Oryzias latipes: one gene and its partners. The protein of the gene in region 1 interacts with the protein of each later gene in a pairwise test. Links are inferred from orthologs where the notes say so. Each region holds a gene or a part of one and is shown in the gene's direction. Other genes may lie near its edges.

Evidence for each region.
Region 2: the proteins of kat5 (region 1) and pih1d3 interact in binary tests that used the Homo sapiens proteins (3 or more experiments, as listed by UniProt). The two-hybrid records come from large-scale screens. The link is inferred for Oryzias latipes from reciprocal best matches to the Homo sapiens genes KAT5 and DNAAF6.
Region 3: the proteins of kat5 (region 1) and pla2g4a interact in a two-hybrid assay, tested with the Homo sapiens proteins (2 studies listed by BioGRID). The link is inferred for Oryzias latipes from reciprocal best matches to the Homo sapiens genes KAT5 and PLA2G4A.
Region 4: the proteins of kat5 (region 1) and rchy1 interact in a two-hybrid assay, tested with the Homo sapiens proteins (2 studies listed by BioGRID). The link is inferred for Oryzias latipes from reciprocal best matches to the Homo sapiens genes KAT5 and RCHY1.
Region 5: the proteins of kat5 (region 1) and apbb1 interact in binary tests that used the Homo sapiens proteins (3 or more experiments, as listed by UniProt). The link is inferred for Oryzias latipes from reciprocal best matches to the Homo sapiens genes KAT5 and APBB1.
Region 6: the proteins of kat5 (region 1) and cep70 interact in binary tests that used the Homo sapiens proteins (3 or more experiments, as listed by UniProt). The link is inferred for Oryzias latipes from reciprocal best matches to the Homo sapiens genes KAT5 and CEP70.
Region 7: the proteins of kat5 (region 1) and odc1 interact in binary tests that used the Homo sapiens proteins (3 or more experiments, as listed by UniProt). The two-hybrid records come from large-scale screens. The link is inferred for Oryzias latipes from reciprocal best matches to the Homo sapiens genes KAT5 and ODC1.

The regions. Positions count from the first base shown.
Region 1 is NC_019872.2:15,162,042-15,166,072, reverse strand, and holds the start of kat5 (histone acetyltransferase KAT5), read left to right. Parts: upstream 1-1,231; 5' UTR 1,232-1,330; coding exon 1,331-1,351; intron 1,352-1,431; coding exon 1,432-1,498; intron 1,499-2,142; coding exon 2,143-2,211; intron 2,212-2,423; coding exon 2,424-2,575; intron 2,576-4,031. UniProt on the Homo sapiens protein: Catalytic subunit of the NuA4 histone acetyltransferase complex, a multiprotein complex involved in transcriptional activation of select genes principally by acetylation of nucleosomal histones H2A and H4.
Region 2 is NC_019875.2:2,473,855-2,477,971, forward strand, and holds pih1d3 (protein PIH1D3), read left to right. Parts: upstream 1-1,317; 5' UTR 1,318-1,499; coding exon 1,500-1,598; intron 1,599-1,670; coding exon 1,671-1,737; intron 1,738-2,541; coding exon 2,542-2,641; intron 2,642-2,779; coding exon 2,780-2,876; intron 2,877-3,217; coding exon 3,218-3,303; intron 3,304-3,482; coding exon 3,483-3,612; 3' UTR 3,613-3,663; downstream 3,664-4,117. Other genes in the region: MICOS complex subunit MIC26, read right to left, coding at 357-950. UniProt on the Homo sapiens protein: Plays a role in cytoplasmic pre-assembly of axonemal dynein.
Region 3 is NC_019862.2:15,098,526-15,102,025, forward strand, and holds part of pla2g4a (cytosolic phospholipase A2), read left to right. Parts: intron 1-63; coding exon 64-194; intron 195-277; coding exon 278-386; intron 387-1,218; coding exon 1,219-1,403; intron 1,404-1,497; coding exon 1,498-1,687; intron 1,688-2,430; coding exon 2,431-2,588; intron 2,589-3,500. UniProt on the Homo sapiens protein: Has primarily calcium-dependent phospholipase and lysophospholipase activities, with a major role in membrane lipid remodeling and biosynthesis of lipid mediators of the inflammatory response.
Region 4 is NC_019867.2:25,253,050-25,257,034, forward strand, and holds the start of rchy1 (RING finger and CHY zinc finger domain-containing protein 1), read left to right. Parts: upstream 1-1,185; 5' UTR 1,186-1,279; coding exon 1,280-1,330; intron 1,331-1,747; coding exon 1,748-1,867; intron 1,868-1,967; coding exon 1,968-2,083; intron 2,084-3,460; coding exon 3,461-3,539; intron 3,540-3,632; coding exon 3,633-3,677; intron 3,678-3,774; coding exon 3,775-3,833; intron 3,834-3,985. UniProt on the Homo sapiens protein: E3 ubiquitin-protein ligase that mediates ubiquitination of target proteins, including p53/TP53, TP73, HDAC1 and CDKN1B. Mediates ubiquitination and degradation of p53/TP53; preferentially acts on tetrameric p53/TP53.
Region 5 is NC_019871.2:9,726,916-9,731,038, reverse strand, and holds the start of apbb1 (amyloid-beta A4 precursor protein-binding family B member 1), read left to right. Parts: upstream 1-1,323; 5' UTR 1,324-1,484; intron 1,485-3,822; 5' UTR 3,823-3,844; coding exon 3,845-4,123. UniProt on the Homo sapiens protein: Transcription coregulator that can have both coactivator and corepressor functions. Adapter protein that forms a transcriptionally active complex with the gamma-secretase-derived amyloid precursor protein (APP) intracellular domain.
Region 6 is NC_019860.2:1,157,418-1,160,520, reverse strand, and holds part of cep70 (centrosomal protein of 70 kDa), read left to right. Parts: intron 1-1,115; coding exon 1,116-1,291; intron 1,292-1,359; coding exon 1,360-1,419; intron 1,420-1,533; coding exon 1,534-1,627; intron 1,628-2,175; coding exon 2,176-2,228; intron 2,229-2,302; coding exon 2,303-2,371; intron 2,372-3,103.
Region 7 is NC_019880.2:20,006,623-20,010,756, reverse strand, and holds the start of odc1 (ornithine decarboxylase), read left to right. Parts: upstream 1-1,334; 5' UTR 1,335-1,483; intron 1,484-2,193; 5' UTR 2,194-2,342; intron 2,343-2,431; 5' UTR 2,432-2,444; coding exon 2,445-2,543; intron 2,544-2,668; coding exon 2,669-2,842; intron 2,843-2,932; coding exon 2,933-3,105; intron 3,106-3,185; coding exon 3,186-3,402; intron 3,403-3,477; coding exon 3,478-3,561; intron 3,562-3,674; coding exon 3,675-3,837; intron 3,838-3,915; coding exon 3,916-4,019; intron 4,020-4,108; coding exon 4,109-4,134. UniProt on the Homo sapiens protein: Catalyzes the first and rate-limiting step of polyamine biosynthesis that converts ornithine into putrescine, which is the precursor for the polyamines, spermidine and spermine.

The DNA.
Region 1 (4,031 bases):
ACTCTCTGTGGAACTTCATTCCCAATTATATTTTCTCCCAGGTTGGTGGCCTCGACTTTTTACTCCTCTGCACCTACAAGCCCGACAAAGTGCCCATCAAACTATCTTCATTTCATAAACAGATGTTACTTGCTTGGTCCATGATTTATAAACATAATTTTTCTCCTCACAGGTTTTACATTTGACACAATAGATATATTCTTTACAAAAACAAAACTATCTTTATCCAACAGTGGTTTGATAATAATATCAGACTAGTTAGTCAATTATTCAATCAACAAGGTCAACTTTACACTTACACCGAATTCCTTCAGTTCTACCAGATCCCTGTTTCTATGAAGGACTTTTCGGTTGTTTTTGATGCCGTTTCCCTCAACCTCACCTATCTTTATAAAGGAACTCCTACTCCATCTGCTCCCCAACCACAGCTTCATGTGACAGACACTGCTGTCGGAAAACTCTGCTTCTCTGCTTTGAGAAATCAAAACAAAACCATCCGAAGACTGTTCCAGCAGGAGCTCAAAACTGAATCCCCGGCCATAACTTTCTGGACTTCACTTCATGGTCAAATGTGTTGGGAAAAGGTTTGGCTTCTGCCAAACAAATATCTTCTAAACAACAAAGTGAAAGAGGTTTCATTCAAGATCATTCATAGGTTTTATCCAACAAATCAGTATATGCAAAGGCTAAAAAGGGATATTGATAAAAACTGTTTTTTCTGTTCTCAGTCTGAGGAAACGTTGGTGCATATTTTTTGGACCTGCAAGTACACTGAAAAAATATGGGACAAAATGACAAATTTGATAAAAACTCAAATTTATCCACATTTTAATTTAACCTGGAAAAACATCTTATTTGGTTACATTAATTATGATAAGACATTTTTATCTCAATTTTATTTAATAAATCTTCTAATTTTATTAACCAAGTATTATATTCACAAATCTAAATTCAGCAATAAAGCTCCTAATTTTCTTGATTTACTAGCCCAAGTTAGATGTTACTTACATTCCATTTCCCCCAGTACAAACAAAAAAGCTATTAAAACGTATCACCTTGCTCAGCTGTATAATTTAGTGTAAGTTTATTTTTTTGCTTGCATATCCCCTGGCGTTTATTTTGAACATTTGATGTACAGCTTATTGTTCCTTGTTCTTTTGCTGTATGTCACTTTTGTTCTGCATCAATAAAAAAAAAAAAAAAAAAATTTCCGGGTTGGCTCCATAACTTCCGCTTAGCGACGCATGCTCAGTCTCACTGCGTTTTACGTCTTTGATGTGGACCGGCATTTTCCCACAACACACTGCAGCAGCTTACACCAACGACGAAAATGGCGGACAACTGTTCTTCGGTAGGTTATGGAAACGTATATTATTGTTTTTAAAAATAACAGCTACTATTGGATACTAACATCTGCTGTTTTATCAACAGGTCGAAATTGTGGAAGGCTGTCGCCTCCCCGTTCTTCGTAAAAACCAGGAACATGAGGATGAGTGGCGTAAGTACTTTTCGTTCGTGCTTAGAGCTAAGCTAATGCTAACTAACAAACAAATATGACGGCCTTCAAAAAAACCTTAAAAACAAATTCAGATAAAATGCAGTGACTGCTATGGTAGAAACTGTTCGTTTAGGTCTAAATTGCTTTGTTACTTCTTTATTTGTGTTTTTGGGCTGGAAATCATTTAGTCGCAATGTTTAAACACTAGAAATTTAGATAAGTCTGAATTACATTTTGCTTTTCAAAAGCCCTACATTTTAAATTACGAATTTAAAAAAAGGTTGAGTTTCATACGCAAGGATTGTATAAATTGTGATAATTCACTGCTGTCCAGTACAGTTCATCATGTAGACATGAGAGCTGAAGTTAAAGATGACAATGTTTTTTCTTAAAAGAGCATAAGTTCATCTAGTTTGTTGAATTCCTGAGGTAGTTCCAAGCTATTTAAATCAAAGTACTAGCTTTGTTACACATCATCAGTGTGATTAAAGTAAGCAATACCCATTTTTATCTTGGCGCTAAAAAGCAAAACCACTCTTGCACTAATTATAACTGTGAATGTTCATTTTCCACTTGAATTAAGATAAAATAGCTGTGTGTTTACTTTGTAAATAGTATTTATAATTTCTTTTCTACTTGTGCAGCTTTGGCTGAGATCCTGAGTTTGAAGGAGGTTTCTGGAAGAAAGCTGTTCTATGTTCACTACATTGACTGTGAGTAAAGCAAAGTTCATCTTTCCTGTTTCACTATCATTAAAGAAAGCTTAGACTTTTCATTCATGTCATTGTTTCAGAAAAAACAAAAGTGATTCCAAACACATAAAGAACGTTCTAGTTTCGGTCGTGTTTCATATGGACGGAAAAAAATAATCTTTTCATAACAGTTGGTCTTTTAGTTGGTAATGTAAAATTGTGTGTGTCTGCAGTCAACAAGCGCTTGGATGAATGGGTCACAGCAGACAGGCTGGACATGAAGAAGCTCCAGTTTCCCAAAAAAGAAGCAAAAACACCCACAAAGAATGGACTGTCAGGCTCGCGTCCTAGCTCACCAGAAAGAGCAGAAAGAGAAGTAGTACCAGTAAGTTTACCCTTGAAGATTCATAATAAAGCATTAGTAAACTACATTTAAATGTTTACGGCAGTTCCCCAACAGTACTGTTGGAAAACAGTTGGTTGTGAAAGACTATTTTCATTGACTGCTTAGTTTCCATCTTATTGAAGTTGAGTTTTTTTTTGATAAAAAATTGAATCTACAGGTTTTTTTTCCAGTCACAAAAACAAAACATACTTGCATACTTGCCAGGCTTGTTTTTAGGACCTTTTTTTTTTTTATCATAATCTGTTTCTGTTTTATGAGTGTTGTCAAGCACTACATATATATAGTGTATATATATAGTTATATATAGTTGGAAAGTTTTGTCTGTATGCTGTTAAGTCTGGTTTTCTTTTGAAAATGTGTCTTTGCTCACTATTTCAAGGGCCACACACAATCACAACAAAAGCATGAACGGCAAAAGCATGAATGGCATCTCTGGGTTTTTTGTAAGTCAGTTGGTAAAGCAGCTTCTGCAGTCTCCTGCTCATTCTGTCTGATGAAAAACAGACAGACCAGGTTTATGTCGACACTCAGCAATGTCGGTCATCTGCAACATATTTGGGTTAGGTGTTTTGCAGACAAAATCCTTCTTGAACAGCATGCATTGACAATAGTTGCTGCCCTGTTTCTCTTCTAAATGACACAGGCTATAAACTTAAGTAGATTAGAATTCTTCCTTTAGCTTCAAAGCAGAGAAACAAAATGGTTAAAAATCAAATTCAACAAAGCAAATGTTCAAGATTTATTTGATGCTTTACTCAAGATGCCTCTGATACAAATATAACTAAAATTGGAATAAAATGATATTGTTGAATCAATTGTTACTTAAAAAAATGAATAGTTCTCATAATTAAATGGATAAATAACGCCCCGTAGAGTTGATATTGACTCTCTCCTTAAAACTCAACCCTCACACTTTATTTGAGCTGTGGACTCTCTTTAAAGTTTGAAATTTTGCCAGTTAAAGTTTAATGTTATTATAATTTCAGGGGGGGGTTGTCTCTAAATTACCTAAATCACTGCGCTGTCTGCTTTCTCTTCAAACTGTGCTCTGTGAGGTGACTGCATAACAGTGAGGATTCATGTTTCAGTCCATGTTTCAGACTTATTTTCTAGAACCAAAGTATGGTGGCACCGGAGAGCTATCCCTAAAACTGAGACTCAGTTTGGTCAAAGTTGTCTGTCTGAGAGCACAAGGAGTAGCAAACAGATGTTGGGGCTGACGGGGCAAAATGCAACAGCACAGCACTCTGCAATATTCATGTTAATTACTATAATATTTTATAATTTATTCATGTAAATGCTGTGCCTAAAAAAGAACATATTTTAATATTCTTTACTGTTTTATTTCCTGAATAAGTTATTAAACTGCTGAAGCAGTGTGTGGAAAAACTTGGTAAGACCATAACTTTCTAGAAATGAGAAGAATCTTTAAGTA
Region 2 (4,117 bases), on another chromosome or scaffold:
TTATGAAAAAACTTTAAATATATTTACTTTGTATTTCCTCAGTAACTTCATTTAGTACTTTTTGTCCTATTCAAGTAACAGTAGACAGCACGTGAGACTCCGTTAAAGTGTTTCAAGTTCTTTTATCCAAAGCAAAATATTGATCTTTATCATTAAATATACATTCAAATCCGTAGCAGAGGTCAATTATTAAAGGCAAAGTCTGGCCTGAGTAAAGCATGAGGAATAGTGCAGACATCAGAGTGGAACCTGTCCAGGTCCATCATCTACAGTACTAGAAAAGCTGCTGCCGCGTGATCCGTTATTGCTGCGCGGGGACGTCCGTCCGTCCGTCCGTCCATCCATCCATCCATCCGTCATGGTTTCGTCTCTGCCTTGCTGCCTTTTCCGTCTTTGCTCTGCGGGCTGAGGAGCTTCTCCGCCGCAGCGAAGCCCCGAACCGCGTATCCGTACACCGAATCCCCGGTTGACTTTGCGATGGTCACCGCCTCCTCCGGGTAGTACAAGGAGGCGCTCACGGTCATCAGACCAGCGGGGTAGATTAACTTCTTAACCCTGGAGCCTCTTGCGAGGAACAATCCGAGGAGCCCCGTGAAGCCGATGATCCCCGCTTGCGCGTAGAAATCCTTGGGATGGTTCTGCAGGTAGACGTAGGAGTCATTTCCGGACTGCACGAGACTCTCCACTTTGGGTTTCAGTTTACCGACGGTGGCCTGACACCATCCCGTGTAGGGCTCAACTAACTTCCTGAGGGTGGCGACGTGCTCCTCAAGCTGCCCCGCCGCTGGCTCCACATAGTGAGGCTTTTGAGGAGCGGTGTACAGGGACAGGTCATCCAGCTTTAACCGGGCCTCGGGCTCTTTCTCCCCACCATCTGCGGCATCAGCAGCCCAAACGAGCGGCAGCAAGCGCGTGGATCCCGGCATGGCACTACCTGTCACCTTGAACATGATCCCTGAGGGCCATACATCAGCTACGGTGTCCGAGAAGGGACACAAATCATGACGCCGCCTCCCAGATATTTGCGTTCGTTTTGCTTTGACAGTAAACTTGTATTGTAAAATTGTATTTGTTCATTTAAATGAATATAAAAATAACGTGATTGAAGTTGTTTTTTTTTATGAACACGACTTTATATTCCATTAAAAAAATCTGATTGTTGGATAAAAAATATTCTAGACTCTTCCTGCCTTAAGTTAAAAATGTTCTAAAAAAAGAAATAATGTTACAAAAATGTTCTTTAGTCAGTTCATCTTTGCTAAAGAAATAAATTTTTTCTTTTCTTTTTTTGTTGGTTTCCATGGCAGCCTGAAACCCATTTGTTTCCATGGTGACGAGCGTCAACGTTCCAAACGTGCAGTTAGCATAGCAGCTGCGAACTTTAGTGTCTGTCAGATATTACGGTCGTTGTGGCCTTTTTTTGGTGACTACATTCTACACCTAAACAAGGCTAGTGTTAGTTTTAACATCCATCTTTTGAATAACACGTTTTCTTTCCAATGGATTATGTGGGTTTATCATCCGAGGAGACCCTCAGGGCTCTGTCTGCCCTGTTATCCACCAAGCAAGAAGACGAAGAGGAGGAGGAAGAGGATCAAGTGAGATTTAAAAACACTTAAGCAGAAAGAGAGAATGAGGAAGTATGTCAATACTTTTTTTAACCTCACCAGAGAGTGACTCCATCTGCACAGCTGGGCCCTGGACAAATTGGTCTCCCTCCACAGAATTCTAAAGAAGGTAAAAGGGCAACATTCAAGTTCTGGGTCTCATTCATGTTTTAAAAATATACATATTTGTGCATTACAAAACAACGACAAAAAACACAAAAAATTGGGAAAATCCCTTTTTTTAAATTTGCAGATAATGCAGAGAAACCCTTTATGTGGCTTATACTGAACCTAGTGTAATGCAATAAAGCAACAAACACTAAGGATGTCACAATTACAAACCAAAACCGATCCGTGTGTTACACGGCTGAACTGCATCATTGGTCAAGTGAACCGTTTCATCTCTACTGCGTACCAATATGGTTACGTTGAAAGTGTCAAACGTATTGTGCTAAATTGATGAAGAATTTATTGTTCATTGTTGTATTGCATGTATTTATTGTTATATTACATTACACAAGGCTAAGCTAAAACCATCTGAAAAGTTTTTCTTTATTGTCATTTAGCAATTTAAAAAAAGGGTTTTTCAGAATTTCTTTTGTTGTTGTTGTTGGTCTGCAATACACAAATCATGCAAGCAAGCAAAATCGTGACGCAAAAATTGAAATTTAAACTGAATTGAAAGTGTATCACTGCATCCTTAATAAACAGTAAATCCCTCTTAAACGTAGCATAACAGCTGGTATGCTGCAGGGATGCAACATTTCACTTTTCCCATGATTAGGTTTTATGGCGTAACATACTGTTCAGTTTTTAATAAAGAATTGTGGCATCTCTATTGAATATTCTTTATTGTTTATCACAAACCTTCTCAAAATGTGTCATTCTGAGGCTAAATGTGAATGTTAATGTACGTGTGACGCTGCTGACACAGAGCCAAGTATAAAGAAGAGCAGCAAGGATATCTGGAGTGAGGAGGAGGTGGCTGAAGGCTCTCGATTCATGGACTTTGCTGACCCGCGGCCACAGCCTGAGTGAGACTCACTGCTAATAAAACATACTTTTGAGGCAGCTTGTTTCACTGGAAATTGCTTATTATTATTGAAAATTGTAAGCTTTATTCTCCAGATCATGTGCAAAGTGAGTGTTTTATATGCAATATCTGTGTACAGGTATGAAATGATCCTCAAGCAAAGTGTGGGAACAGAAGATGTGTTTTTTGGCCTCAGTGGGAAAGACCCCTCCTCCATGTGCTGTGAAGCCCTGCTGGTCCAGTATTCAGTTTTCTTTTATTGTCTTCAAATAGCGCAGAGTGTCATTTTTAGTGAATTCCAAAAAGGAACAAAGCATAATCTGAAAACCACTTTTTAAAAGTGTGACAACGGAGAAGACATTGAAGAAAATACGTCCAAATGAGTTTTTCAGAGCACTAATTTAGGAGGAAGACGTTTAGTAAAAGATGTTGCAGGTTCTGTGTTTTGTCAAAATTCTCCTTTGAAACTTTTGTAGTTTAAGTTTAATTCCTCTTTTGAGGCTAAAATTCCATTTGAGCTGCTAATGGACTGACATAAAACTTAAAAATATACATTACACACTTCTGCTGCTTTCAGGTCAAAATTCAGCTTCCAGATACCAGAGCTACAGATGTCGTCTTGGATGTAAAAGAGAAGTTCCTTGATCTGAGGACACCGAAATAGTAGGAAATGCTTGGAAATATTCTTTTATTTAACTCTTATGGATGAGACTTTGCAGATCAGGACAAACATTTCTTTTTATGATATGACATTACTTTCATCCCTACTTCCTAAAGAACTGTGATTTTAACAAACTGTGCTCTCCTTCTCTTTTTTTTCTTCTCTGTCTTCTTCACGTCAGCAAACTGGGCCTCCATCTTCCTCATCCCGTCCACGCTGAGGAGAGCAGGGCACAGTTCTTCAGTGAGAGGGAAGAACTGCAGGTGACTCTGCTGATGAAGCGCTCCATGGATTTTTTCAACATGCAATAATGAAGACAAATATGTGTAGCACAAATAAAAATGGTAACCCACAATAGGCAACTGGTTTCCATAAAACTCTATTTTTAAAAAGCACACAACCCAACTCTAACTAACTTTTTCTGGGCTATTATGGAAAATAAGAAAAACTCAGGCTACAAAAAAAAGTATTGCTCCAAAATGCAACCCAAAATATGAAGAATTATGTTAACTAAACAACCCAAGTGTTTTAGCAGGACACCAATGACACTGTGACAAACAAATACATATTATAACAAATATCATGGGATTGATCTAGTACTGTCTAAGTACTGATTTAAATTAGAAGATTAAAATATTATTCTTTTTTTTTTTTACTAAAGTGAATCCAAATTGATCATTAAAGAATTTAAATAAATAGAAAATACAAACAAGCGAAGTCATCAAGCTCAGAATTGATTAAATATAACTTATATGAACAATATATTGTGACAGTGGTACACTGTCACAATATATTGTCCGTACTGTATTTATATTG
Region 3 (3,500 bases), on another chromosome or scaffold:
ATCTCATCCATTTTATTAAATTCCTTGTAAAAATTTGACAAGTCTTTCTTTGTGTGTGTTCAGGTGGAACGGAAAACCAGGAGGCAGAGGAGGAGTATAGCCGCACTGCTCAGGCCAGTTGGGTTCACAGGACGTTCACGTCCTTCTTCAGTGAGTCCGTTCTCTTCAACACTAGGGAGGGACGAGCTGGAAAGGTAAGTCTTACAACTGCACATAAATCAGTCTATATTCTAACTTTAAGCTGCAAATGTCACTATTAGAAAACCCTCTCCTGCAGGTGCATAATTTCATGCTGGGCCTGAATCTGAACACAAGCGTACCCTTTTCTCCTGTCACTGGGGTAATGCCCTCTTCAGTACCTGAGGAGGAGGTGGATGCTGTAACAGGCAAGATGAATAAATGATTTGCCCCTCTGTCCATTGTTTTTTGCAAAAGTTTCAATAAAATTAAATGATAATTTGGTTCATTTTTTATGATATTGAGCTACTCAGAATCACTTAAAATTCATTGTAGTATTTCCCTTTTCTCTTTGCATTTGTATGTAACTAAAGAAACCATAAATATCCTCTGCAATGTTTTGGCCTGGAACTATTAAAAATAACAACTAACAATATTTTGCCAAATTTAAGTCAATAAATTATTTTTTTAAGATACTTTTTTACTTTCTGTTTTATTGTGAGCTGCATTCCACTGATCAGGATGGTATCTTCAGTCTTTTTGTCTTACATGACCGACATATTACTGTTGTAATGAGTAGCAGGGGAATAAGTTACATTTCTTTGAAACTATAGACTTAAGTTTCAACCTGTGAAGTTGGCTGAAATAGCTTTTACTAGTGATTGGTTGTGTTTAGTAAAAAAAAAAAAGAAGAAAATTCCCATCCGTACATCATTCCAGTTGTGGGAAAGTGTAATGGTTTGTTTTATTACATACCTACATAAATATGTCATAGTTTCACTTCAGAATTTGAAAATGTTGTCTCATAGTATTTAGAAAGTCTCACTTCACCCACACACATTCACACACCGATGGCGGCTCTGCTGCCTAATATACTGCCGTCAACCCATAACCACCAGCAGCATTTTGGGGTTCAGTGTTTTCAACACATGTGTGGGCAAGATGGGAACCATTGCCATAATGAGCTTAGTAGATGTGAATGTTAGTGTAATTTCACCAATACTGAACCCAAATATTTGTATTTTTGTGTCCTTTTTTCAGATCCGGATGAATTTGATCGCATTTATGAGCCTCTTGATGTGAAAAGTAAGAAAATCCATATTGTGGACAGCGGCCTAACATACAACCTCCCGTACCCTCTCATCCTGCGGCCGCAGCGTGGTGTTGACCTCATCATCTCTTTTGACTTTTCTGCACGACCAAGTGACTCTAGCCCCCCATTTAAGGTTCAATCCAAACTGTTTTTATCATACGAAATAATGATAAAAAATTTTGAAAGAAATCGCAACGTTTTTTACTTTTCTGTTTTTTGTTCTACAGGAGCTGCTGTTGGCAGAAAAGTGGGCCAGAATGAACAAGCTTCCATTCCCTAAGATTGACCCCAAAGTGTTTGACCGTGAGGGCCTGAAGGAGTGCTACGTCTTCAAACCAAGGAAGGGTGAAAAGAACTGTCCCACCGTCATCCACTTTGTCCTGGTCAACATCAACTTCAGGACGTTCAAAGCACCCGGTAAGTGTGTGTGCTCTATTTGGGAAAAGGTGTTTCCTGAGTCTCCATGGGGAAAAAAATGCAAAGGTTACATCATTATTAGAATCTCTTACCTAAAGTTATGCGTCAAACACAGTAATGATTAGTCAGCAGTGGATGGTGTTTTCTATTTTTCTTTCAGCTTCATATGAGCTTCTGGAATTATAAGCATCTTCTCAAGGTCACTGAGTTTTTGTGGGAAATGACGTGTCAGTTGAGAGTGGGCTGTGGTCAGTTTTATGACCCTCTCGAGTAAAATCTCGTTCCTGCAGAAATAGCGTGTCGGTCTTGGAATCTTCACTAGTGGGAGAGCTTGGTTAATAAACCTGCTATACATCAACAGCCATTCTGTGACTCACTCTCCACTACATGGTCTATAGGGCATCTGTCCAAACACTTCTGCTGTGTGCTTATGGAAGCTACATCACCCCAAAAACATCTGAAGGGAAAGAGCACTTTCAGTAATTGCTTGCAGCTGTATTTTTTTTAAACTGCTGCTTCTTCCTGTGACTGGGGCTTCATGTTTTTTCTATTAATGTGCAAAGAAATCAAAAGGTAGCTGAGTTTTTGGGGAGCAATAAACCTTTTTCATCGATTATAATTGACTAAAAATCTTCAGAGAAAGTATGAAACTGTTTTGGGGTTATAGAATGTGAAGGAATAGGTGAGCTGAAATGGTGAAATTTAAAAAAACATATGTTTTCTGTTCTGTGTTCTGCATGCAGGAGTTCCCAGAGAAACTGAGATGGAGAAGGAACTGGCAGACTTTGACATTTTTGACGACCCTGAGACGCCGTACTCCACTTTTAATTTTCAGTACACCAACAAGGCATTCACACAACTCCATGACTTAATGGAGTTCAACACCCTTAACAACCTTGAGGTCAGTTTGGCACTTTTGCAAGAATGGCAAAGATAAAGTTTTAGCAATCAAAGAAACAAAATATTGCACAATGGTAGCATGTCTGAAGACTGTTGCAGTGTGTAAAACTCAAGATAACAGCTGATTATATGATGATCTATCCAAACATCTTACATGGACCGACTGATTAATGCAGCTACACCTTATTTGTTCATTCAAAGCTGTCAGCAGGACAATTTGCTTTGTGCTTGTTGCATTGCACAACATTAAAAATTACAGTCCCCAAAGGACAGTCTAAGCAAGTGGATGCAGTGCTGGGGGTGTGTCACCATGTGAGGTCATCCTAGAGTTTAGTTTATGAGTCAAAAAAAAAAAAAAAGTTTCGTTTATGAGTCACTTCCTTTTTAAGTGAATCCTCAGACATAATATAAAATACCTGTAAAAGAATAGTTTGTAGGTGTGAGCTCATAAAAAACGTGCTTCAAATGAAGACATTGTATATCTGTCAATTCATTTTTTTCTTATGCAGGTTATTTTGATGTTTTTATGACCTGCTAAGAAAACCAGTAGTTGCGAAATTCCCTGTAGCAGCCGACTCAACAAAAAAATTGAAGAACTTAAAATTGCCGGAAGGCACTCCTACTTGTGTCAATCTATTTGAACCCATGTTGAGGCAAATTCATGCAGTGTTAAAAATTTGACATGTAAACACAAAAAAACACATTACAGTGGAAAGTTTTGACAGACTGCAATTTGAAAAATGCAAGTCACTTAGGGTGTATTCAGACTGAACACATTTGGTTTGGTTAAAATAAACAGAGTTTGTTTCCCCCGATAATCCAGAACAAATTTTCAGTCTGAATACACCCAAGTCGATCCTTGTCTGGGACCAGGAACCGCTCTCTGATGAAGCCATGGATGAGCTTCAGACAA
Region 4 (3,985 bases), on another chromosome or scaffold:
TATCAAACAACTTGGGTGTAAACGAGGTTTGTGGGATTTTCTAGAAGCAAAGTATTCTTGTTGTAATAAATATCAGGTTAGAATTTAATTTAAAACAAAAAATTGAGGTACAATTAAGGAGAAATCTAAAGGCGTGTTTGCTTTCACCTTCATTTTCCCCTTAACACTGACTTATTCATTTCAGTCTTTTGATAACATCATTGTTTCTGCTTTTACAGCAATATAAACATCAAAACATTGTTTTAATTAAATCTCTTGAACTACTGAAAATACTTTCTTGCCAGCCCTTTTGACACCACATCTTGGGACTTCAGTGGTTGTCTCTGCAAGTTCTGCAACCACTTGAGGGTTTCATCACTGATGCCCTAACTTTACAGAAATAAAGCAATAATATAGGGAGATTACCACATTGTACACATTTTCTTTTTTTAAAAAGTATGACTTAGAAAAAACTCTACCTAAATATTAATACATCTTTCATTGTAATAAAATTGAAAAAATTCTGTTTATTTAATTATCACAATGTTTAGTATAACTGTATCTCGTATAAGTTGCTTTTACCCAAGCAAATTTACAGTGCTTTTATTTTGGTAACATAAAATATATATAGGGAACAGTCAACATTGTCTGAGTTTTCCACAACAAAAAATTGTTCAGTACAAGAAAAAAAAATAGAATAAATGTCCCTTAACCAATACGGTTCTAAAAATATGTTTGAAGAAATAAAAGTCTGCTTATTTTCACATTTAAGAGGCCTTCTAAAAGTACACAAAAGATGCTGCACTAACAGCCAAAACAATGAAAAACGTCAGTCTTACAAACTCTTGATTAGTTTGCAGAACCATCAATACTTAAACCACTTCATTCTTTTTTATTCATCATTGCCAATTTCTGTTGTGTTTTAATAAATTTTACACACGATACAAAGACGTTTTAGTTGGACAGACTTTTTCTTTTTAGTTCTAGATCAAATTTAGTAGGAAAGCTTCTTTATTTCCCTTGAATATAAATAATACATTCAAGGGAAATATATTTTAAAATATAAATTATCTTGAGGAGGACATATACAGCATACAGTTATCTATTGACAGACGCTACGGTAATAAACTCACATCCCAGACCAGAAGGTGGCGGTAATGCGCCGTTCTGTTGTTTGCCACCCGCTGTATATATATTTAAAAAAAACTTTTAAAAAAACGTCCAACGAAGAAGAAGAAGCGAGCAACCTTCTCGCCTTCGTGGCAACGGACACTTCGAGAAGCTTGGGTTTGGAGACAGCATGGCTTCACCTGTCGGTTGTGAACATTACGTACGCGGTTGTTTGTTAAAAGTGAGTACCCGTTGTAGCCTCAGCGGAAGCAAAGCTGTATGCTAGCGTAAAATGAAACAAAGGACGGACAGGCCAGGGGGCTAACTCAACAACAACTGTAGTGGCAGACCCAGTCACCGTTTGTCCGGAGCGTTATGACAGTTTTGACAGATGGAGCTCATGTCCACTTTAAGATATTGGCAGGACGTCGAAGTTAATGGGTTCCATGTGTTTTGTTTAAAGGATATACACTTCATATTAAGTTTATGATTTTGCGACTACTGCTCTGCTGCTGCTTGTGTTCCTCAGCCGCACATTGCCACATCGTTATATAATTGTTAACCGACATTTCTTTAACGTTTCCTGAGATGCCTACCAGTTAAACCCCATCCAGATGTTGATGTTCCCCTAACGTTTGCGTGTTTTTGTGAACTCCAGGCGCCGTGCTGTGGGAAACTGTACGTGTGTCGTCTGTGCCATGATGCTCAGGAGAACCACCCGATGGATCGCTTCAAAGTCAGAGAGGTGCAGTGCTCCAAGTGTAACACCTTGCAGCAGGTAAGTTGCATAAATAAAATAAACCACCAGCTGTAGTTGATGACTTTTTATTTTTATGCACGTTACCCTAAATGTGTCCTGTTTGTGCATGCTTCTCTAGGCCCAAAAAACATGTCAGCAGTGTCAGTTACAGTTTGGGGAATATTACTGTGACATCTGCCATTTGTTTGACAAGGATAAGAAGCAGTACCACTGCCAGCCCTGTGGAATATGCAGGTAAATGTGTCATTAACGGCAAACACTCATCAACGGTTTACTAAATGGCGTATACTTATATGGCGCTTTTCTACCTTCTTCAGGGCCGTAGCGCTTTAGTCACAATCCCATTCACCCATGCACACATTCATTCACACACTGGTGGTCTCAGGAGAAAGTTAGGATTTTGTCTAATAATTAGAGGTGTAGCGACTGATCGACTTAATCAGTGAATCAATTTATATTCCTAATATCCAACAAGATCGATCTGTCTGAGGCAACAAATCGACTTAAACCACTATGAAACTGTTGAAAAATGAAACATACCCATAATATCTATTGAAAAAAATCTCTGTCTTTCTCTGTATCTGAAGATATTTGCATGCTTTGGATTTATCGATCGATGTTGTTCTGGCTGTTTTCAGAAACACTTTATTTTTAAAAATCTATACTTGATCCTAATTCTTTTGCTGTATGTTAAAAAGCTCAAGTACAATGGGATTGTCTGGTAAAAGAAAAGTTGTGCATTTCTAATGAAGAAACAAACAGGAAATCTAAACAGTTGCAGGGGAAACGTGAGTTATCGGTATCGGCTGGAAAAAATTATAACCGCCCATCCCTAGAAGAGACACCACAGAAGAGGCTGATTGACAAAACCAACAAGTCACAGTGAAAAAGAATCAATAAAACAGCGAGACAGCGAAATATAGCGAAGGAACACCACCGGTAGTGATAATATTCTCCTAAAGTTTGGTACATCAGAGGAGGAACGATGCAGGCAGCGCCATGAACAGGCAAAGCCCACGCCATGTAAAATTAGGGTCAGCAGCGAAAAGTCTGGATTGAAAATTTTAACTGAGGTCTAAAAGCAAAGAGGGGAAGAACCAAAAAAAAAAACAGACGTTGAAAAGAAAAAAAGGCTGCTGTTAGAAATAAACATAATTTTCAGGTTTAAAGTTGTTTTTTAAAAGTCAAATTTACTTTTTTGACAAATTTTCAATAATTCTTTCAACTTTGTTTTGGTCAAAGTCATAATTTCTTTGTTTGTTTTTTTTCAAATTTTTAATAATTCCTTGAAGTATACAAAATGTACTTTCAAGTCTTAATACAGTTTTCAAGTTTTCCTTCTCTTCAAATTTACAAAATGGGTTTTCATTCAGTTTATGCTGTTCCCAATTTCCCTCCATAAAAAATGTCCTGGATGGAGTTTTAGGTCAGTGAATCAGTTCGTTCAAAATGAAACGATATCACCTATGAATCATATCAGCAACCACAAATTCTGATATGAATCAAATTGTTAAAATTAATCTTTAAACCCCTAATAATAGTTCATTTTTTCTTTTTTATCCAGTTACCCACTAACAGATGAGTAAACTATGTGTGTTCTGGTATTGGCAGGATTGGACCCAGTGAGAAGTACTTCCATTGTGACAAGTGCAATTTGTGTCTGGCCCAGGATCTGAGAGGAAACCACAGAGTGATTATGATTATTCACCTCCTTCTGATTCACTCTAATGGAAGAAGTTCTCACTTTGTTTTACTGACTTTGGTTTTTTTTGATTACTTTCAGTGTGTCGAAAATGTCTCTAGGCAGAACTGTCCGGTTTGTATGGAGGTATGAAACCTTAAAGTACATGTAAAACTAATATTGGATTTTCGTCTTTATTTGAGCCCAACTGTTTTTTTTTTGTTTGTTTTCTCTTTGTCAAAAGGATATTCACACGTCCAGGATCGGTGCTCATGTCCTTCCATGTGGCCATCTTTTACACAAGTGAGGCGACTTTTCTTTTCTGTTGGCTTAGGTTTATGTGTGTTAACTGCAAATAACAGTTTACAGACGAGCTGCAATGATTTCAAGCTATTTTATAAATACTTTAAACAGATTTCCTTTTAGAAGCACACAAATTAACACCACCAATGAGT
Region 5 (4,123 bases), on another chromosome or scaffold:
TTTTTGTTTTTCAATCTGGCCATGCGATCAGACCCACATACAACTCCCTCGGGGTACCAAAGTGCTTTATAATAAAAGAAAGACAAAAGAAGTTTAAAATTTGACACATTAGAGAAGAATCATGTGGCCCTCACAAGAAACAGTTTGGGGGACCCCTGCTCCAGCATCCACGTGGTGTTGGGAGTGGTTTTCATTCTTCCGATCATTCAAACACCACATGAACGCAGCATTTCTAGAAGTTTGTGTTTTAAACGCGATACATCAAGCTATTCATGCAATTGGCTCTAAAATAAGAACAAAAGCCACAGTTTTGAACTAAAAACTCAAAAATGTCCTGTTTTGAAATGTATATTAATTTCCAATCAAAACGTTTTCGTCTATATGGCGTGTTATTTCTTTAGATTACCAAAACACTCCTGGTTCGGCCCTTCTATCAAATTTTAGAACCCTTTGTGGCCCACGAGTGGAAAAGTTTGCCCACCCCTGATCTAGCTTATCCATAATTTGCTTGGAGAAGAATTTTAGCATTGATTAAGAAGATTAACAAATAGTCCAAATTGTTTTTGTTCTTATTTAAAAAAATAAGATATTTTAAAATACATTTAATAAGTGTTATTTAAGCTTTTAGTGCACTGGAAATATCTTTTTTGTGTAGATGCAATAGGTTAAAATTCTTATTTAACAACATTTGAGTTCTAAAGATTTAACACAATGGTTGATTAAAATGATCCAAGAAATGTTTTCAATTTATTTTAAAAACTGAAACAAACTGTAAAAAAAAACATGTTTTCTTTCTTGTATTTGACTTTTATTTTCGGTTTATACTTTTTTTTTTCATAATAAAAATAAAAATAAATGAATATTTATTTGCCAATTTTATGTTGAACCTGATAAGCTCAATAATAAAATGAAGTTTAAAGGCTGCAAAAATAAAAAATAAAATAATCTAAATTGACCGTTATCTGTCTGTTGTTCCAAAAACAGGTCAGAAATTAGGTTTTTGAAAAGGAAAGCAGAGTATAAAAAAGCCACGCTAAATTTAGGTTTTGTAGGCTTTATGTTTTGAGTTTTTGTTGGGAAATAATAGAGAAATAAAATTAAAGTTATGTAACCTTTTCCTTTTTTCTGCTCCGTTACTCTGATTTTTTTTTTTTTTTTTTTGGTTGTACAATACTTTAAAGACTACATATACAGTATATATTTACCTATCTCTCATGTTTGATGTGATTGTTTGATGTGGCATGTAATGAAGTCAAAAACGTCCTCACTGGATGGATCTTTTTCTCCAAAAACGGTGAGGCTGCTTCGTGGAGCCCCCCTTCCTGCTCCGTGGGCTCGGGCCGTGACGTCATTCCGTGACGCAGTCCGTCCTCCATCACTGCCTGAAAACACCCAGAACCGAGCAGAACCTCACGATGCGTGGAAATATGTAGTTAACTCGGCCTCCAGAGCAATTATCGATCACAGCGGGTTTGGTGGAACCGGTAAGTTATCTTTTGAACAGCTCTGGATAATATCCTGGGAGACGTCAACCGTTGAAACCCTCACTTCGGTAGCCTTGGCTGGCTAGCGGGGCGAAGCTAACCCCTTAGCCGAGCAGAGAAGAAGGTGATGATGGCGGCGGATGGTGGCCGTTATTTCCAGCTGCGGCGATAGCATCCGCCGCTGAATTTTGTCTTCTATCTTTTATATTTTGTATTCATTCTTTTCTGAATTCAAAATATTTGTCAGGGCCAGCCATTTTACTGCCACTTGAGCGTATTATCTTAAACCTTAAAAAGGCCGTGCTAGCAAGCAAGCAAATGGAAAGGATGAGTATAATTTTCCGGATGGAATCCCTGACGACCATAGAGAAGAATAATAACACACTTGCTTCTTTTAAACGTACTCTACCCATATGGATTTGCTTTAATCAATCTGGAAAAGCATATTTGTAGATGCTAACGACGTGCTATTAAATTATAGGAAATATGTAGGAACTGCAGCATCAGATATTTGACATTATCTCAAAGCTTTGCTGCATGCCCCCTCTCCTAAATGAATTATTATTTGATTTAAGTATATAAAATAAGGAAAACCAAACAGCTGGTTCCTCATAAAGCTTCCACAGCTTCCAGGTAGGCGTTATGTCAACTGATCAAGTGGGATGCAATTGTCAAAGTAGTTAAAAAAAAAATAAAAAAAAGACTCTCAGCTGTCAAACTGTCTTTTTACGCCTCCACTGAATGACTGTGCTGCTCTGGTTTTGCCTCCTCCAAGACAGTGTCTTAAAACTAAAATAAAATCATTTCTCAAGGTTTGATGCGACTGCTGCAGCTCCCTATTTCTCTAAAGGCTGTGGCTGTTATTGTTTTTTAAATCAGAAATAGTTTTACTGCTGCATTAGCTCTAATCAGAGTGCAGGAGAATCATTGGTTGACTTTTCTGCAGGCCAACAGCATAACAGCTACTTTGTATGTTTGCAAGAGTTTGGTTATATGCAGGACCGGATACCTGTCATATTGCTCAGATGATCTTAATATTTGACATAAAATTTCTCATATAACTGATATCCACATTAGGGTTGCACGATATAAAGAAAACTCACAATTTGCGATAATAGTGATCAATATTGCGATGATGATAGAACTTGCGATGCATGAACGAATAGCAAAACTACCAAAAGCATCAATTCCATTTCACTGCAACAGTTTGATTTAAATAAAAGTCAACATAACTTAAATTCTACTCCAAATGACCCTCGTCTGCATAGGAGGCGAGCATCTAACATTAAAAGGGCTCCATCTGATTGGGCAATAACATTAAGGGATTTATTTGATTTATTAAATACTTCAAGGTGTCATAAGATTGTTTTAGCACATTTAAGGTATGCAATTTTCACCGACTTTTGCGGTTATGCGTAATGCACAGCTTGATAATGCGATAACGATAAATTTGCGATTTATTGTCCAGGCCTAATCCACATCCAAACTTTTTTTTTCTTGGTGTTCACTGGTTCCAGCTGCTGACTTACAATCAGTTTGAGGACTTGGCTATCAAAATTCAGTTCTATAAAAGCAACAGCATTTCTAAGAAATAAAGAAAAAAGGTTGGAAATTGGTCACTAACTCTGCAATACATTTTTAGCAGATTCTTTAAGAAAACTAGCCTTTTCATCACAGGCTTAAGTTAGTCTTAGTTAAGATTTGTAAAGAATCTTCGGTTTTACAGGCCATTTTGGGAGTGTAAGCTTGTGGTTTGTGTCTCAGCTTTTTGGAAAGAAATTATGGGTCGTTTGAAAAAGGATCCTGCTTTAGAAATCGGTTGCAGTGAATAACAAAAAAGGTTTCTGATTTAGCCTGTCTGCAATGATTTTGTATCTTGTTTTCATCCTGTGTTTTTTTAGAAATATGCCAACAGTTAAAAATGTATTCAGCATTTTTTCATAAAACAAAACCTTTCTTTCTTTCTTTCTTTCTTTCTTTCTTTCTTTCTTTCTTTCTTTCTTTCTTTCTTTCTTTCTTTCTTTCTTTCTTTCTTTCTTTCTTTCTTTCTTTCTTTCTGTCTTTCTGTCTTTCTGTCTTTCTGTCTGTCTTTCTGTCTGTCTTTCTGTCTGTCTTTCTGTCTGTCTTTCTTTCATTCTGTGTTTATTTCTGTCTTTCTTTAGCCCTGTGCCTACACATGATTGCACAAGTATAGATCACTTTAAAATGCTATAATTTAAAACCACATGAAATGAAATAAAAACTGTGTTTAAAAAATAACTGTTGTCCTAAACTGCCTGCAAAGTACATGCTATTTGAAATTCTAACGCTGTGTTTCTAACATTTCTTTCTTCATCAGATATCTCGCATGGAAAGTTACCATGGGTGGTCATGATGATGAAGATATGACATATGTTGTAAATAAACAAAGGCAAGAGGAAGAGCTGAAAAACAAGCTGAATGAAGGCAGCCACTGGTGCGACCAGGAGTCTACAAGCAACAATGCCAAGTGGGTCAAAGAAGGCCAGAACCAGCTCCGGAAAGTAGCTGAGAATCATCAGGATCAAGATCACAACTGTAATATCAGTCAGAATGGAAACGAGGATGACTTTCCTCACCAGAACATCACTCAGGAAGAACAGCAGGGAAACGAAGAGCAG
Region 6 (3,103 bases), on another chromosome or scaffold:
TTACGTTAATAATTATACCCAAATATTGCATAAACATTTGTCATTTTTTGTAGCAATGATCATATACAAAAATTAACTTTGGAAGAAAATTTTTAACGTTAAATATACTTCATAACGTCGATTTTAAGTATTTATTTGTTTGGGAAATTTGCTTACGAATAACGTAAATTTGATGGTATTTCAGTGAAATTTATGTTATTTGTTTGTAAACATTGCATACAATAAATCAAATAATACGCAGATATTTGGAAATAAACATAGGATAGAAATACATCAATTTTAATGTTGTCTGTTTGCAAATATCGAATAGAAACGACGTAAACTTGATCTTCTTTGGTTGCGAACCTCGCAAAGAAAATTACGTAAATTCTGTTATTTGAATGCAATCGTCCCAAATGAATGTCGTGAATTTTCTTTTTTTTTTTTTCAAATAAATTACGTAACTTTGATGCTAACCTAGCATATGAATAACGTAAATGCTGATATTGCGATGCGAGCCTAGCATCCAGAAATCCCTTATATGGTAAAGGAGTTCTGGAAAGTGGTTGGGGTCAAAGTGCGCAGAGCTTTGGTCAACAGACTGCCGTCTTCAGCTCTGGACCTGCGGTCCTTCCTCTGTGGTTCTGGTTCTGGGTTAAGGCCGTGTGTTTGTGATCCCTCTGTGGTTCTGGTTCTGGTTTAAGGCCGTGTGTTTGTGATCCCTCTGTGGTTCTGGTTCTGGTTTAAGGCCGTGTGTTTGTGATCCCTCTGTGGTTCTGGTTCTGGTTCTGGGTTGAGGCCGTGTGTTTTTGGACCCTCTGTGGTTCTGGTTCTGGTTTAAGGCCGTGTGTTTGTGATCCCTCTGTGGTTCTGGTTCTGGTTTAAGGCCGTGTGTTTGTGATCCCTCTGTGGTTCTGGTTCTGGTTTAAGGCCGTGTGTTTGTGATCCCTCTGTGGTTCTGGTTCTGGTTTAAGGCCGTGTGTTTGTGATCCCTCTGTGGTTCTGGTTCTGGTTCTGGGTTGAGGCCGTGTGTTTGTGAACCCTCTGTGGTTCTGGTTCTGGTTTAAGGCCGTGTGTTTGTGATCCCTCTGTGGTTCTGGTTCTGGGTTAAGGCCGTGTGTTTGTGATCCCGTCAGCGCCGCTGCGAGCAGCTGCAGCAGAAGCTGCGCAGGAAGGAGGAGGAGGCCGCCAAGCTCCGCTGGAAGCTGCGCTTCGCCGTGGAGCAGGAGGAGCGGCGCTTGGCCCGGCGGAACCGCAGCTTCCAGGAGATCTGCGGGAAGACGTCCCGGCTGCAGACCGCCGCCGATCAGCGGTGAGGGCGCCGCCCGCCGCCGCCACGCTCTGCTGCGGCTCTCACCACAGCAGCGTTTGTGTCTGCAGGGTTTTGGACGTCATCGACTTCTACGAAGCGGAGAGGAGGCGACTGATGGAGGAGCTCAGGTGAAGCGGGACTCCTCCTCTTCCTCACTTTCAGGAGCCTCAGTGTCAAAACGAGGAGATTAGGATTAGGAATAATCCCAAAGGGGTTTTAGTATGAAACCTTCTCCTCTGCAGGTCTGCTAGAGGAGGAGCCGAGGCCTCGGAGCTGCAGGACGGTGGGGAACGGACCGCCGCCGGCGCTCCTTCATCCTTCAAAACAGACCTCAAGGCAAAAACTCCCAAATCCAAATCTTTGACTTCCAACAGGAAAAGCTGGAAATTCCATTTCCTGGAAGCTGAAGAGGAAGATTGGAGGAAGACCAAAGGGAATTATTGGTCCACCTGACAGGAAGTTCATTTAAGCAAAGACTTTTATTGTCTTAAGATGCCCAGTTCAAGATTAAAGCTAAAGTGTTTTACCAAAATAAAAGTCTGGGTCAAAAAACGTCACGTTGGCAAAAAAAGACTTCTAAAAAATCATTTAAATCAATCAATGTAAACATAAAATATTAATATCCATTTCAGCCAAAGAATCAGATTTTTCTGAGGGAAGATTGATAAAATACAAACGTTGAAGCATTTATCTGAAGTGGGATCGGTTGAGTTTTGAGGTCACATGATCTTTTCTTGGCTTCCTAAAGTTCTTCAGAAACATCTCTTACTTTGAAGGATTTCTTTTTATCTTTAATGAGGATAAAACCAAAAGTTGCCTCTAAAACAGTCTTTAGGCTTATCTTTTAGGGTCCGGCTCTCACCAGGTGGCGCTGTCCTCCTCAGGTGTTCCCACAAAAGGAGAGGCGCACGCAGCTGGAGGCGGAGCTAGACTCCAGGTGGGTGGAGCTCCTGCTGCTCCTCAGGGTTCTGCTGGGAGGCTGATCCTCACGCTGCCTCTGTTCCTCTGCAGACCGACCCGGGAGCAGCCGAAGGGCCGCAGACGGCGCCACCTGGAGGGGCTGCAGCCGGGCGCCGCCAGGTACGGCGGCAACAGAAGCTGTGGGCTCTGGACTCTCTTTGGGATATTTACTCATAGAACTGGTTATAGTCCATTTTTATTTAGATTTATTTATTTTAGATTTTTTTAAACCACATTAAGTTGTAATTTGATCATTTGGGGAAAATAATGACAACAAAAACGACCAAAAACAGTTTCCACCTTCATTCTATTTGCATCGTTTTGACTTTTTACTGCTCAAATGATCCAAATGAATCTGTTTTAAAGAGAAACCTGATCAAATCATTGGTTTTGATATAAAATATTGTCTTCCTATCGTTCTTTTCTGCTCCTTTCAGGCTACAGAAACATTTAGTTTCCCTAAAATACTGTTGGGAGCTGAAAAAAATGAAATCTTGACAGACTTTATATTTGAACGTTTTTGTCTGAAGTCTAAAGCTAGGGACACAAAAACACTCGCTAAAGGCATTTGGGGTTCACACTGGACCAGCAGGGAGGGGCTTCTTCTACTCTTTACCAGCGCATGTCGAAGTGGTGCAGATCTGGCGATTTCAGCGCAAAATGGTTCCGTTTCTTGCTAGTGCCCTCCGTACGCCGAATAGGGATTAGCGTCATGTAAGGGGAGGGGCCTCTTCTTATCTTTGTTTAAAAAAACAAACGCGTGTCGTCGGGTTTGCGATAAACCAAGTACCCTGGAGTTTGGCGGGGTTCTCCACGTCTGTTTGACCTTAACACGTGTGTAATGGCCGTGCC
Region 7 (4,134 bases), on another chromosome or scaffold:
AAGCTCCGGGTGTAGTGTTCCTAACAATTCACCCAAAACACCATGACAAAGACAGTGGCTCACTCAAGTCTACAAAACCAGAATAAACAGAAATCAGCCAGTAACCTGATGTAGCCGACATGAGCAGATTTCTCTTCAGTTTGACGTCAATTCAGCTTTGATCTTTTTGTGCTTGAATATATGTTTTTAAATGACTGCTTTCTTGGACATGTGAAGATCAGAATAATAAATTTTCAGGCTGGCTTGACAACTTTTGTGCATCTCATCTCTCCAAGCAGAGAAGCGGCTTTGGGACGGGCGGAGGCGGCTTTTGAATGAACAGTCCTGAGAAAACATGCAACCAATCGTGAATTGGTGTTTCCAGTCAGGTCCAGACAGAGTAAAGGCGGATGTTATTCCAGCTGAAGTTCATCCAGTAATGATGACGTGTGACGTTATCATTAGTCACAGGCCGTGTTCAGGCGCAACAGTACAAGCACAATTGGTTAATCCGTGCGCACGGTTCACCAGATTTATTTAGCTACTGACAGCTGGAAGGCTCTGTAGTTTCTGATTCATGACTATTTGAATAAAGAAATCCATAAAAAGGCCGTTTTAAGATTAATTTTCTATTTATATGTCCTCTAACATCTTAAAATACCACAAGAACATGCCAAAGCACCAAAAACACTATTTTCATTTGAGTGGGTCTTTAAAAAATGGCTGTCCATTTACCTGTCTCTTGTTTAACCCTTGTGCTATCCTAGGCACTTTACCATTGGGAGTTGGGTCATCTAGACCCATTAGACAGTGCGCTGAACCGTTTTTCGTCAATGATTTGTGATCCTCACTGGTGTCCATGGATTACATGAAATCTTTCCACCTTTGTCATGGTAGGGAGAACACGTCAATGGAAGGGTGGGGTCATCTAAGATAGAACAAGGGTTACTATGTAGTGAATCCTGAAGTTTCTATTCAGTCCTCTCCAAAGAAAGGAAACATGCTCATCTGTTGTCTATCTGGTATTTTACTCTGTTTCCACATCAGCATCCCGTATCAACAATGGTGTAATTAGTGTCTCCTCTGACTAAAATGGTTATGGGGAGAAGGGGTTATTACAAGTTTTGAAAGGTCAACTTGACTGGAATGAATTTTAACACCGGGACAGAGTTCCGGCTGTCCAAAATGATTAACACATGAAGAAAAAACGTTCAAAAGAACTTTAAACAACCTCCGTGTGGCCCTTGTCTGATGTCTCACCACGTGGATCAAGTAACGAGCTTGAACTGGTTTCTGAATATAGCGTGGGCCGGTTTGAGCTGGCTGCGTTGCCATGGTAACGGCCGCCCTATAAAGTCTGTTCTGCTTCTGCTACCGGGTTTCCCAGGCAGTCAGCCGGCAGAAAGGCGTCGCGAAGAACGCGCTTCTTTTCGGCGGGGATACCACTCTTTTTAACGCCCGGTCCTCGGTCTCATGGACATGCTCTTTGTAAATGCTTTTTCAGGTAAAGGAGAATTTTTAACAAGCCGTTGAATCGGCTGCAGTTTTTATGTATGTACGCTTAAATTCGCCTGTAACGATGTTCTTTTCGGTTAAAGTACCGACAACCAGGCTAATGTCCGGTCGGGCCCGCGTGCCTGTTTAAGGCTAAGAGAGACGTGGATCTCATTAGGAATTGAACCGCAGGACGCGGTTACAAAAGCGTTACGTGGCTGTTTTACATCATGGCTTTGCTAACTAGCTTTCTTTGCTAACATTGCTAAAGCTAGGAGAGCGCAGGCCTCTGGCTTTGGTTTGATGTCGTCAGCGACTCTGATCTTAAACATTTCTGTTTCTACGCTTTAAGTCCGGTTTTATTCAAATATTTTAGTAAATGGAAAAAAGAGCTCGTCTCTTGGCACATGCATTTACCAGTCCAGGCGGAACCGGTATGTTGACGTCATCACGAAAAGCTCGGACAATGATTGGCTCATCCTCTTCCCATGACGCCGGACCCTGTCTGTGATTGGATAACGGTTTTTCGTGGGCGTGTTTGGGCCTCGTGTCGTTATCATGGCTTTTCTTGGAAAAATGGCAGCTTTGCTGAAAGTTAGAGACTAACTCAGAACAGGAGGTTCAGGGGTCTGAGCTGAACACGTGCAGCGTATTGTAGATGTAAAATGGCTCATCTTGCTGCTCATTCACTGATTCAGTGACTTATTTTTCTTCTGACAGAATCTCCACAGTAGGAAATCGTACCGCGGCTCCTCTACAGGCCCTAGCATTGAGTCTTATTTAAAGGGCTTTAACTTCTTCACCGGTGAACCACCTTGGCCTCAAAGACTTGATTAACTACAGCAAATAATTGTGTCTCTTGTATCCAGGTAAGTTTTTTGTTTTTTTCTTGTTCATTTGGAACTTTGGTCTTGTGCAACCTGTCTGTATATGATGACAGCCTCTCATTTCTGTTTAGGTCACACGTTACCATGAACACTGAAGTGCCCACACTTGAATTTTCTTTCCTTGAGGAAGGGTTTTCTGCTTGGGATATTGTTGAGCAGAAGATCAATGAGTCATCCCTGACCGTAAGCATCCTGTGCTGTCAATCATTGGCAAAGTGATATGCTGTCTGGAATGGTGATAGATAAAGAAAATGGCTGTTGTTTTAGTTACACTACAGCTAAAAAACTGTATCGTTTGGATATTGCAGGACGACAGGGATGCTTTTTACGTCTGTGACTTGGGAGATGTTTTGAAAAAACACCTCCGCTGGACGAGGGCGTTACCCCGTGTTACACCTTTTTATGCCGTCAAGTGCAACGACAGCCGGGCTGTTGTCATGACTCTCGCGTCTCTTGGAACTGGCTTTGATTGTGCAAGCAAGGTGTGTCTTTAAAGAAACCTTATTAAGTCTAATATAGAATTTCTCTGTAGTAGAAGTGAGTTTTCAATGCAGTTTGTTTTCCTGCTTTAGACAGAGATTCAGCTTGTTCAGTCCTTGGGAGTGCATCCAAACAGAATCATCTATGCCAATCCTTGTAAGCAAGTTTCTCAGATGAAGTATGCATCTGCCCACGGAGTGGAGATGATGACTTTTGATAGTGAAGTGGAACTCATGAAAGTCGCTCGTTACCATGACAATGCCAAGTAAGGCTCTTTACCTCTAAGAAATGAATGCTACGCTTTTGCATTGCGGCCCTTCTAATAATACATTTGTTTTGGTGCAGACTGGTGTTGCGTATTGCCACAGATGACTCGAAGGCGGTTTGTCGTCTGAGCGTAAAGTTTGGGGCCCCGATAAAAGCTTGTCGGGGCCTTCTGGAGCGTGCCAAGGAGCTGGGGCTGGATGTCGTTGGCGTCAGCTTCCATGTTGGGAGTGGCTGCACTGATGCTGGGACCTTCGTCAAGGCCATAGCAGACGCACGCTGTGTCTTTGATATGGGTGTAAGTAAGGACTGCTGACATCTAGACACAGCTTAGAACGTGTTGTGAAAATAAAAGCATTCTTTGAACTCACAGGAGGAGCTGGGCTTCCAAATGGATCTCCTAGACATTGGAGGGGGTTTCCCTGGTTCAGAAGATACTGAACTTTCATTTGAAGAGGTATGAAGCCCCATGAGATTCTCAAAAGTTTATCAAACAGCTATAAGAATTTTAGGATTTGAAAAGGAAGAGTGGTTGTAAATATTAAACAGTATTTTTTTGTCTTCTTTTAGATCACAGCAACGATAAACCCCGCATTGGACAAGTATTTTCCCGTTGACTCTGGTGTGAGGATCATTGCCGAGCCCGGGCGGTTCTATGTGGCGTCTGCGTACACACTGGTTGTAAATATTATCGCCAAGAAGGTCATCATTGATGAAGAGGCTCCCATTGATGGTAATATTGTTGACTGAAGCTTTTTTTATTTTGGAAATGCTTTTTAACCTTAAACTCTAACCATAAACTCTTCTGCAGAGGAAGACAACAAGACTCTGATGTATTACGTCAATGATGGGGTGTATGGATCCTTTAACTGCATTCTCTATGACCATGCTCACTGTTATCCAGTGCTGCACAAGGTTAGAAAAGGCCAAAAAAAAATCATGGCTGTGCACGCGTGAACTCAGTAGTTTATTTTTGCCCCCTTCCATTCTGTTGTTTTGGACAGAAGCCTAAACCAGATGAGACCATGTA